Linked DNA regions of Coturnix japonica. The protein of the gene in region 2 interacts with the protein of the main gene of each other region in a biochemical or structural test. Links are inferred from orthologs where the notes say so. Each region holds a gene or a part of one and is shown on either strand. Other genes may lie near its edges.

Region 1 (5,333 bases), on a different chromosome or scaffold from region 2:
GTTTACATTTCTGCACAGTCAAATGTAAATACTAAATTTCCAGCTATGTCTATAGGCAGTTGTGAATTAAATTTTAACTTGTCATAATTATTTTTAAATGTATTTATTTTATAAGGATAATGATTTTAGTTTGGCTGTACAATTACTTTGATTGCACTAGATTTCATTCATCTAAAGGTCATTCCTCTAAGCATGGAGAGCATACAGTCTTAATGTGCCATTCTGTACAACCTTACGGGATACCTTCCTTGGACAACTACCAATAGGAAGAACTGCATTATCAACGCAATGAGAAGGCTTAGCCCAGCATACTTATCTGTTACTTGTATTTTACTGAAACAAAAATCAAATTGACTTATTTGGATGGTTTATGACAGCAAGCATGTGGTGTTATTGGGAAACCAGTCAATGGGTCTGAATTAATTCCTTCAACACTTTCCAGTTCTGCCACCCCAAGTGAGATCTGAATGTCAACAGCCCTACAACTACAGATGATAAATCACAGATGCCATTAAAATACCTGCTTGTTTTGTTTGTTTGTTTTAAATGGGCTTGAACATCCTGGAGAAGGTTTCAATCTCACAACTTTTTATTCATATGAAAATACTTCCTGAAAAATTAAGTGTCCTCCAGGTAAGAATGAAGATATCAACAAGTCTGAATTATTTGCTGCTGTTAGGCCTGGACTTGGATCTATCCCTATGACTTGAAGCAAAACTTCAGACTGAAAAAATAAAGTTCAAAGTATGACTGCTTGAGTTAAATCAGGATATCATGTAGAATATTCCCAGTCCAGTTTTGAATCTAAACATAAGACCCAGTTCTAATAATTCTGAGTATCCGTGTATTATTTATTTTTCACTCGAGTGTCTACCTGGGGAGGACTGAAACGAATCAAAGCAAATTGTTTGCTGCCAAAATGACCTCTTACAGTTTAACAATAAAATCAACCTTCTGCTGTGGAACCTGCACATATTTCTATAAAGATAATAAACTACTTTGTGTACACCTAACTCTCGACAAAACAGCTTTTCATAAGCCTTGATTCAAATGGTTTATATTATATTACTGAATTTTCAGTTCTCAAACTTGAATTGTGACAAAAAATACAATTCTTTAAGTTCTGTTGTCCATGTCAACCTATGTCTTATATTACTACTGTTTTACTACTTTGTAACATTTGTAACACATATCCAGACTCTGATATTAAAAGATCTGAAGCTGAAAAAATAGTTCCTAACTTTGGAATTTATGTGTGTGTTCCATGCATAACAGTAGCCAGAAAATGCAGATACAGATCTGTGTAGATCAGGATTAATATTGAAAAAGAATACGGAGAAAAAGCTGTGCCTCCAACATACATTAAACCTACATTAAATATTTGATAAAATAATAAAAAAGCCCTTTATTGCAGCTTTTATTTTTAACTCATTATTCCTTGTTACTGCTAATTGTTGTAGCCTTACAAATAGAGCATTGAAACGTCCCTTTTTCATGAAGTTCTGTCCAGCCTGCAAACAGGAATGTCATCTCAAGAAAATGCACAGAAGTGCAGGGGAAGACCAAGGACTGCAAATGAAAACAGGGTTTAATGAAGGACAGCTGTTCACTTGACCAGAATAGAGAAGGCGGCAGATTTATTTTGTAAATTCAGGCTGGAAGAAAATTTACTAGAAAAAGATAAAAAAAATCTTTGTTCTGCTACAGATGATTAAATTAACTGCAGAAAATTGTAAAAGCTGTTTTTGTAAAGGCTTTTGATTATTAATAGTTATACTGACTCATAACAGCAACACTGCAGTGCTTACTAAGGTAATCTCACTTCTGGTACAATAACTTTCACCAATGATGTGCTTTTTCCTTAAAGGAAGGCGGAGTTACCAGTTAGTGTCTGGGCCATAAATAAGAGGTTCCTATGTCAGGGAAATTAGAAGTCAGTTAACATAAGCAGACTGAGCATTAGAGGGCTTTACTAAACCACCCAAGTCTGCTGAAATTGAAGACGCAGAAGAAATCAGATAGTTTGTAGGAAGTTTAGATATAAAATCAACAGTAAGAAAGCATTTTCTCTTGGCAGACCGATTAGCTGTGCTTAAGGCAGCATGAATCCTGTACTTAGTACCTTGTTGTTTTCAGTGCTTCTGCTGCTGACCCACAGAATTCAGGAGCTGGTGGAGGCGTGCAGCTGTGCCCCTGCTCATCCGCAGCAGCTCATCTGCGATTCTGCTTTAGGTGAGTCATTAATAACGACGTGCTTTGAACTGCTGGTAGGAAATCGAGTGGAGCTAATCTAACTGCCGCATTCTTTTCTGTACAGCTGTAGAGAAATATTTTTAACCATGTGGCTTCGACTCTTAGAGCATTTTGGAACAAAATGACTGCAGACAGCCCTTTTAAACATACGGCTATGGGAAGAAAAATGTGGCAGTAGCTGATCTGTTTTTCTTGATTTTTTTTTTCTGTTTTTTCTTTTCCAGAACATTTTGTGGTTACAGATTGTTGAAATTACTGCACTATTTTAGTGGGCTTTCTTTTTTTCCTTCATAAAAACAACATCTATGTTAGCTCCTAACCTAGAGCAAGCAGCAAAGAATATGTGGACGTCTAAATGTTTACTGCTCACTGTATCTATACTAGACTATTCCATCTAAATACAGATCCACTCTAACTGTGCATATCAACAGTTGTTACAGCGCTCTGGGAAACAAAATGAAGTCCCCAATGACATGTTGAAATATTTGATCTTTGTTCTGCTGCGCTCCAGTATCTGACTTTATTTTCCAAAAATACTTGAGCAGGAAACTGATATGCCTTCACTTGTTTGAATCTGGCTATAGAGTTTCTACACAAATAGGATTTTCCAGTCTTTAGGATGGCTGTATTTCATGACGTTTAATCAGATCTGCGGCTGTCAAAATACTTTTAGAAAGAAACTAAAGATCTCAAAATTATACTGCATGGGGATAGGAAAATGTGTCATTTTGCAGTCTTTTGATTTCATTAGCTCAAGCTGAGGCTGGTTAGCTTCCATCTAGTGTGAACAGTAAATGTAGAACATGAGTTTCCAAAGTGTCACAAAATTAGCATCTCTATGGGGCAGGCAATACCTTCTGCATACTGATTAATTGCTTTTATACTCTGACAGAAAATCTTTGTAGCCATGACAAACTCCAAGCTCTATTTGTGGCCATCAGTTAAATTGTTGTTTAATCTGGTTGTGTTAAGCACTCTTTCACTGAGTTACCTACACCAGGCATTACAAACTTGGGGTTCAGGTGTAAAAGAAAATAAAGTTGCACTTCCAGAAGCTTAACTAAATATGCATACAGTTAATTATGTTAATCTGCTGCACTCCTAGGCATAACAAAATAAGTTTTTCAGCAGATTTGAGAGTTTTCAAAGTAAATAATTCCACAGTATAGAGGAAACTCAAAATACTTGTTACGAGATGTACATACTTCAGGGAATTCATTCTGGCCACTCTAATTAAGACAAGGTCCTTTATATCTATATGTACATATATAATAAATGGTAGATATATACTTTTAATTAGGTTGAAATAAGAAATTGTAAAATAATGCTACTTTATATTGGTAGCATAAGACTTGGTGCTTAAGCTCTCACTTACATGAGTTTTCTTTTAAAAGTCAATTGTACTTTATACCTAAGGAATACTTCCATCATGGATTTCTTTGTTTATCACCCATGTTTCAATATATATTTTTTTTTTTTTAAAAAAAAAAAGATTGACAGATTGTACATAATACATAATGTACATCTATCAAATCAATATTTGTAAACATATTTTGGATATGCATACATATGTATTTGCATATATGTAACACTTAAAGCCTGACCTAAGCATTTAGGGATGAATTCCTCGATTTCTTTTGGATACAGTACATCTTGTAAGCAGATCAAAATGGCTTCAAAGGATCTGCAGAAGACCTGTGGTGCAGTTTGCCCTGCATAAGAGAAACCTCCACTAACCACTTTGGCAAAGGCAGTTTCTCCAGCTCCTGTGCCAGGGCTGGGGCTGTCCTGGGGAAGTGGGCAGCACGAGGCTGAGTTTTCCCACACAGCGCTGCTCCAATGGGAATCAGGGCAATGCCTCTACAGCTGTTCTTCCTTTCTGAAGCAAAGCAGGTTTGAAGCCACACCTGCATCCTTTTTGCACCACTCAGTTCTTAAACCGGAATGGCCATGCTATTAAGTATCCTGTGCAATTGTACACATCAAATTTCTCCTGCTAGTAGTATGAAGAATTTTATACCTACACTTTCCAAGATTTAAGAAGATTAAAACATGTACTTCAAGATTTGTGCCTTAATTTCAACATATCTGTCCTTCCAAAATATCAATAAACAAAGAGATCAGCTCTTCACCTACCAAAATCATTAGTAACTGATCATCAATCCAGCTTCTTACTGAGACTATTCCATCTTTGTCATTTATTTAGTTCATTCATCTGTGTACCCATAGACACATTCAAGTATTTCCTAGCAGAATAAAAACCTGTGAGGATTTTGTGGCTTCACACTCTTAGTAAATACTCAGTGTAAAATACACCTCACCATCAGAGATGGGCTCCACACCGTTTGCATCTTGGAGCTGTCTAAAAAAAAAACCTTTGGACTTCTCCATAGTATGGAAAGATTGTAGTACTTGGCATATAATACGCACTTATATTTTATATTGCTGTACTTATTGTATTGTATTTATATATTTATATTATTGTCCTACCAAATGGAGACAGATCTTATTTGCTTGATAGCAATCACAGAATCACAGAACTAGATATTTATAAACATTAGTCAGATCCCCTCTCAATCTTCTTTTCCCCAGGCTGAACAGACTCAGGTTGCTCAGCCTTTCCTCATACAGGAGATACTTCAGGCCCTTTAGCATCAATGTGGCCCTCTGCTGGACTCCTTCCAGGAGATACCTTTCTATTTTCAACTGGGGAGCCCAGAGCTGGACACAGTATTCTAAATGCGGCCTCACCAGTGCAGAGCAGAGGGGGAGGATCACACCACTCAACCTGCTGACCACACTCTTTTTAATTCACCTTCCTGGCCACACACTGGCTGACATCCAACCTGTTGTCCACCAGACCTTCCAAGGTCCTTCCCTGCAAAGCTCACCTCCAGCAGCTCAGCCTCTAACCTGTACTGGTGCATGCAGTTATTCTTCCCCAGGTGCAAGACTTGATACTTGCTCACATTAAACTTCATCAGATTCCTCCCTGCACAACACTCCCATCTGTCCAGGTCTTACTGAATGGTAGCACAACCTTTCGGTGTAACAGCCACTCCCCACAATTCTGCATCATC
Region 2 (5,166 bases):
AACAAAGACAGCTGGCTTTTTTGAACATTTGGATTCAGTATTTGGATCTAAACTGAATTTGATTATTTTTTCAAGCTGCTGCCTTAGCTTGGACTATTACAAAGGTAGGTTCAGTTGCACTGTTTAGACTAGGTACAGTTCTGGATTGCTAAATTTACATTCTCTATAAAGAGTAGATAAAGCTGCATCAAACAGCAAGTATCCCCAGACTGATGTGTAGGTCATCTGGATGGCACAAGGCTGAGAGATGCCACTACCACAGATGGTAGATGGAAATGCTGTAGATTACTGATTTTTATGACAAAACTGTCTTTAGCATGGGGACGAAAGTCCTTCAGGTATTGTATCCGTAATATTAGCTACAAATCCAAGGTAAGAAACCCAAATAAATAAGGTAAGGGTAAAGCATATCAGAAATATAAGAAAGAATTGTTTTTTTCCAAAGATTCTAAAAAACTTGACAAATTGAGTGTGCATTTAAGTCCTTGTGCCATTAAATATTCCTGAGGGAAACCCTACTTTGTGTATCTAATTAGTTAACTGAATTTCACCCAAAAGAAGAGGGAAAAGACCTCTACATCAGCAAAACATAGGAAATGACATTTGATGACTGCAGTTTGTCTGGACATGGATTTCATCAACATTAAGTCCCGGATTGCCTCATTTTACCCTGCATAGGAAATAGTTCATAGTTGAATCAGAAAAGATTTAATCAGGATGTTACACCATTTTCTTCAGGAGGTTCTCCACTGACCTACTGACTAAGCACAGACTTTGCTTAGTTTTTATAACATCATATTCTGATGTGGTAATTCTCCTGAAGAGAATGCAACACTGGCAAGTAATGGACACACAATGGTTTCACCTTTGCTGTCAACAAGTTTCTGTGTACTCAGAGGAAATGGGGCCTAGGACTTAATGTGAAAGGCACTAAGAACATAAACAAGCCAGTTTGGAGAATCTGTTGTTATCCTAATTATAATTTTCATGTAGTTTGATTTATTGTCTTACACTTCTGTTTGTATTTGCCAGTGGTACACCATGGTATAACACAGACTGTACATCAGAACTGAACTTTACTGACGAAAGAGGATGCTGCTCTTGCCAATTTAGGTTTATAAGTATGATAGACAATGAAAAAAACAGAAAATGAGGCACAATAGAGAATTGTATTTGGTATGTTTCTAAGTAAGAAGTTAACCCTCCTGTCAGTTCTTCCTAAAATGGAGATTTTACTGAAGATGAAAATGAACATAACCAGCTGTTCTATGAGGAGAGAATCTTGAAGAAAATGCAGTGTCTGTGTAAACCACATCTTGGCCTAGACTGCAAAATTCAGTTTCCCCAGAGTCAGCAGGGAGCTGTGGTGATCTGGAATTTTGATCCAGCCCATTAATGAAACAGGGTCCAGCTGCAACATAGCAATTTGTGTTCTGATTCTGAGTGTTGGGGCTGTGCAGACGGAGAGTGTGAGAGAAAAGTAGCCAGTTAACATTGCCCAAGAATATTACCAGAAAGACAAAGAAGAACTGCAGTGTTTAAACCAGCTTGTAATTTTCCTCTGAGTACACATAATAAATAGGTTGTTCCAAAGAAGCAGAGATGAGGGGAGATGCGGATTGCTGCTATTTAGTAAAATCCTAACTGTGTCTAAAAAAAATAGATTGTTTAAGGATGGTTAAATTACCATTAGACAAGTATGACTCCCCTTTCCTTTCCCATACATGCTGCCCCCACCCCCTGGCTGCTGTGCTGCCAAGACAAAAGCTCTGGTGAATTTGTCTTGTTAAATGCTGGAGACTGCCCTTTTGGGGTCAGTTTATCTGTTTTTCCTCAACTTTCCACCACAGCTCCCATCTGGAATTTCTCTCTCTACCCTCCCCCAGGCTGTTAGCCTGGCAAGCTTTCCCAAGATGCACACCAGCTCCTAAAGAACAGCAACCAACTTCCAACCCTCCAAATTCTAAAATAAGAATAAGTTATCTCAGTCTTCCTTAAAATGGAGTTACTGCTGAAGAAATGTCTATAATTTACATGATAAAATTAGTATGATCCATCTCCCCTTAAATGGATTTCCCCATTGAAAGTCATTTTTATGAAGGTTCACAGGGCTTAAAATGAGGTTAGAATAAAATGCTGTAGAATTATAGCTATAATTTGCTGATGTCACATTCAGAAATCCAAACTGTTTTGGTTTTTGGTTGTTTTTTTTTTTTCTTAATTTGAAAAGAATATTTCTTTAAACCTTTGAGGGGTTTTTTTGAAGTCAGAACTAGTCACGATGGCTTCTGAAACTTGAGCCAGCTTTCAATTGTAATTGCCCCTTAAAGCTGTGTTTATGCAATGCACAGTAAACAGTCTGGAAAACAAGATCCTGAAAGCTGTGTGATACATGCATTAAGCCCAGATTTCTGTAAGTGAATCTCAATAGCTCACGGTTCTATTTGATATAAGTCAAAAATTAGACATTTTCCTCTCTTACCATTGGAATCTGTTGATTACAGTTGCAATGATTTAATGAAACTATTTTGTTCGCTCAGACTTAAGGAAAAAGAAGATTTTTGCTGCCTTTAAATTTTTAGAGAGGAAAAACATTACTTGGCTCTAGTTTTTCCTTCTGAAAGCTGATACCTGCGCTAGCTAGCGAGCACTTCCAGAGACTATAGAGAGAATGCTGCAGTCATTTCCAAGCCTCAGCTGAAAGAAGAAAGAAACAGCTGCTTATGAAAGAAAAACGAAACAAATCTGAAGCAAAGATGAAACCAACACTTACCACTGCTAGCTCTTTGTCTGTTTTTGGTGTGCTGTCTCCGGGGAACTTAATGATTGGTGACGGTGCAGCTAAAGTTTTGTTAAAAAGATAGACTTGGATTAATAGTACTTTAAAAATGAAGCCAAATACATTGTGAGTCTTCATTCTGCCTATATTTTTGCAATCCTCTCTGAAAAAAGATCTTTCTAACTGGCTGTCAGTTACTTTAGCTGCACAGTGCACTAGTTGCTTATCTGCGCATCTTAACTCTCTGCACCGTTTTCTCTTTTGCTTGCTCTAGCAATTCCTTTGTATGTTTAAAACATCCAGATGCGCAGTCTCAAGCTACCACAAGAGGAAGTCTGAAAACTAGTGGAAACATGAGAAAAGGGCAGTTACCAGATGTGATTGCTGTGATTTTAAGGTAGCAACGGGCAGATACTTATTACTGCTGAAAGAAGCCACATTTTCTCCTTATTTGCATACACTGAAGCATTTAGTTATGCCAGAGAGCAGCAAAGGGCAAGACCTGACTTAATACTGAAGACGAAGTGTCTCTTGTATTTTCTAAATGAAAACAAATAACAACAAAACAGCCACCCCTAAACATTATTTTCCTTCCTAAGTATTTGTGTTATTCTTTACCCTATTTTCTTGCCACATATTGCTTTAGCCAGATGTGGTTACAGTCCTACACAGCGCCTCTTGGTAACTATTTTGATGGCATAGTTGGAGGCAGACCTGGCATGGGCTGGTGCAAAGGCTTCTTGTCCATCTCCTGCCTGGGCTGCACAAGTTGGTCCCTGTGTATGGGGCTCACCAGCACTCCAGCCCTGCTCTGTGCAGAGAATAACCAGAGCTCTGAACAAGATCACTGAGGGCTTGGTGCAGCTTTTATGACAGCTTAAAGCTTTGCCACCAATAGGGGTGGTGGGTCACTTTTGTTTTTCTATGAAGTTAGAGAGAATCTGGAAGATGCAGCAAATAGGAACTGTGCCCAACGGTTGGTAGGGTGATTTTATACAGAATTCCAGGTCTGCTTGCACTATGGGTTTGGCCCATTGATGCAGCTGTATGTCTGAAATTCTGGTGCAAATACTGCCTTCATCATGGCTGGCCTTTTTATTCCTTCATAATACTGCCAGCTTTGAGGTGTTAATACAAGCTGAATATTATTTTAGCTGAATAGCCTTAATCTAGGGGCTTGGCTCATGGCTTTTTAAGACAGGAGACTGGCAATTCTGCATGAAAGCAAACTGTGTTCTGGCCAGCCAAATGTGTCACAGAACAGTTTCTATTCAAGGTGAGTCCAGCCGTCAGGGTTCCTCTGAGCTGTACATCAGCAGTGAGGCTGTGACAGCTTTCCACTGCATGTTTCTAACCGAAGGGTTTCTGGGTATAACTCCTGTTACCAAATAGTGTTGTTAATGAAAAGTAAATACTTTGCTGGTGTTTGGTATTTATTCAAAGTACTTTGATATTTAATTGGAAATATTTGGTATTGACAGTTCATTGACTTACACTAATGTTGAGTTGTTTTGCTAACTAAAGCCTATGCCTGTGAACTGAAGAACCTTATATAAAGACAAGGGTTGCAAACCGTGGGCCAAGACCTTCAGGAAAAAAAAACATTCACAGGGGTTTTTACTGCCCATAGAGCTTGTCTGAAAAGCACAGCAGCTATATGCTTAGGCACTGGCTGAACAGCCATGGGGAGGAGCCCTCAGTGTCTGAGAAAAAAGAAGGGGTTGCAGTAATTTGTGTGTGAGCAGGGATTTCTTTGCAAGCAAGTAACTCTCCAATTCTTCTATGTATGATTCCAGTGGCACTTGAGTTACAGTGAACAGCTTTCCTCTCATGGTTCAGCTTTTGTCTCTACAAACAGTTGCTACCTCTGGATAAGTCACATAAAGTGAATGCAGTTGTAGCCACAGCTACATCCTTTGTCTATTTGTGGAAAAAATACTTTAAAGTTGCACATAAACTCAATATAATTTAAGATATATTTGTAATATGTATATTAAATTATCTCTCCCGAATCATAGAAAGTTGCTTTCTGGTTATCATGTCAGTTTCAGGTAAGAATTACTCTATACTTAGGCTTTAAAACCATCTGTTTCAAGAAGTATGATGTCAGATTTGCATTTCAACTGGCTATCTTCATGAATTAATAAGAACTGTATGGCAGAAACGTTCTGAGATGGTAGATGCCTCTTTTTGGGACATACTTCAGTAATAACAATAAAAAGAGAATTGTGAGGTCTTGCGTTATTGAGCCGTGAGGTACGTTTCTTAGGAGATCTGGCTGTGATAAGAGACATACGAGTATGTATTAACATGCTGTTTTTATCAAAGGATTATTATGTTTTCAGAAAATTATTTTTAAATGATTGAGGAACACTCAGCAGTTTCTG

What was found. The genes of interacting proteins can lie anywhere in the genome.
Region 1: the proteins of MMP2 (region 2) and TIMP4 form a complex in vitro, tested with the Homo sapiens proteins (2 studies listed by BioGRID). The link is inferred for Coturnix japonica from reciprocal best matches to the Homo sapiens genes MMP2 and TIMP4.

What each region holds. Positions count from the first base shown.
Region 1 is NC_029527.1:3,151,234-3,156,566, reverse strand, and holds the start of TIMP4 (metalloproteinase inhibitor 4), read left to right. Parts: upstream 1-1,828; 5' UTR 1,829-2,102; coding exon 2,103-2,232; intron 2,233-5,333. UniProt on the Homo sapiens protein: Complexes with metalloproteinases (such as collagenases) and irreversibly inactivates them by binding to their catalytic zinc cofactor. Known to act on MMP-1, MMP-2, MMP-3, MMP-7 and MMP-9.
Region 2 is NC_029526.1:2,835,923-2,841,088, forward strand, and holds the start of MMP2 (72 kDa type IV collagenase), read right to left. Parts: upstream 3,108-5,166; 5' UTR 2,918-3,107; coding exon 2,774-2,917; intron 1-2,773.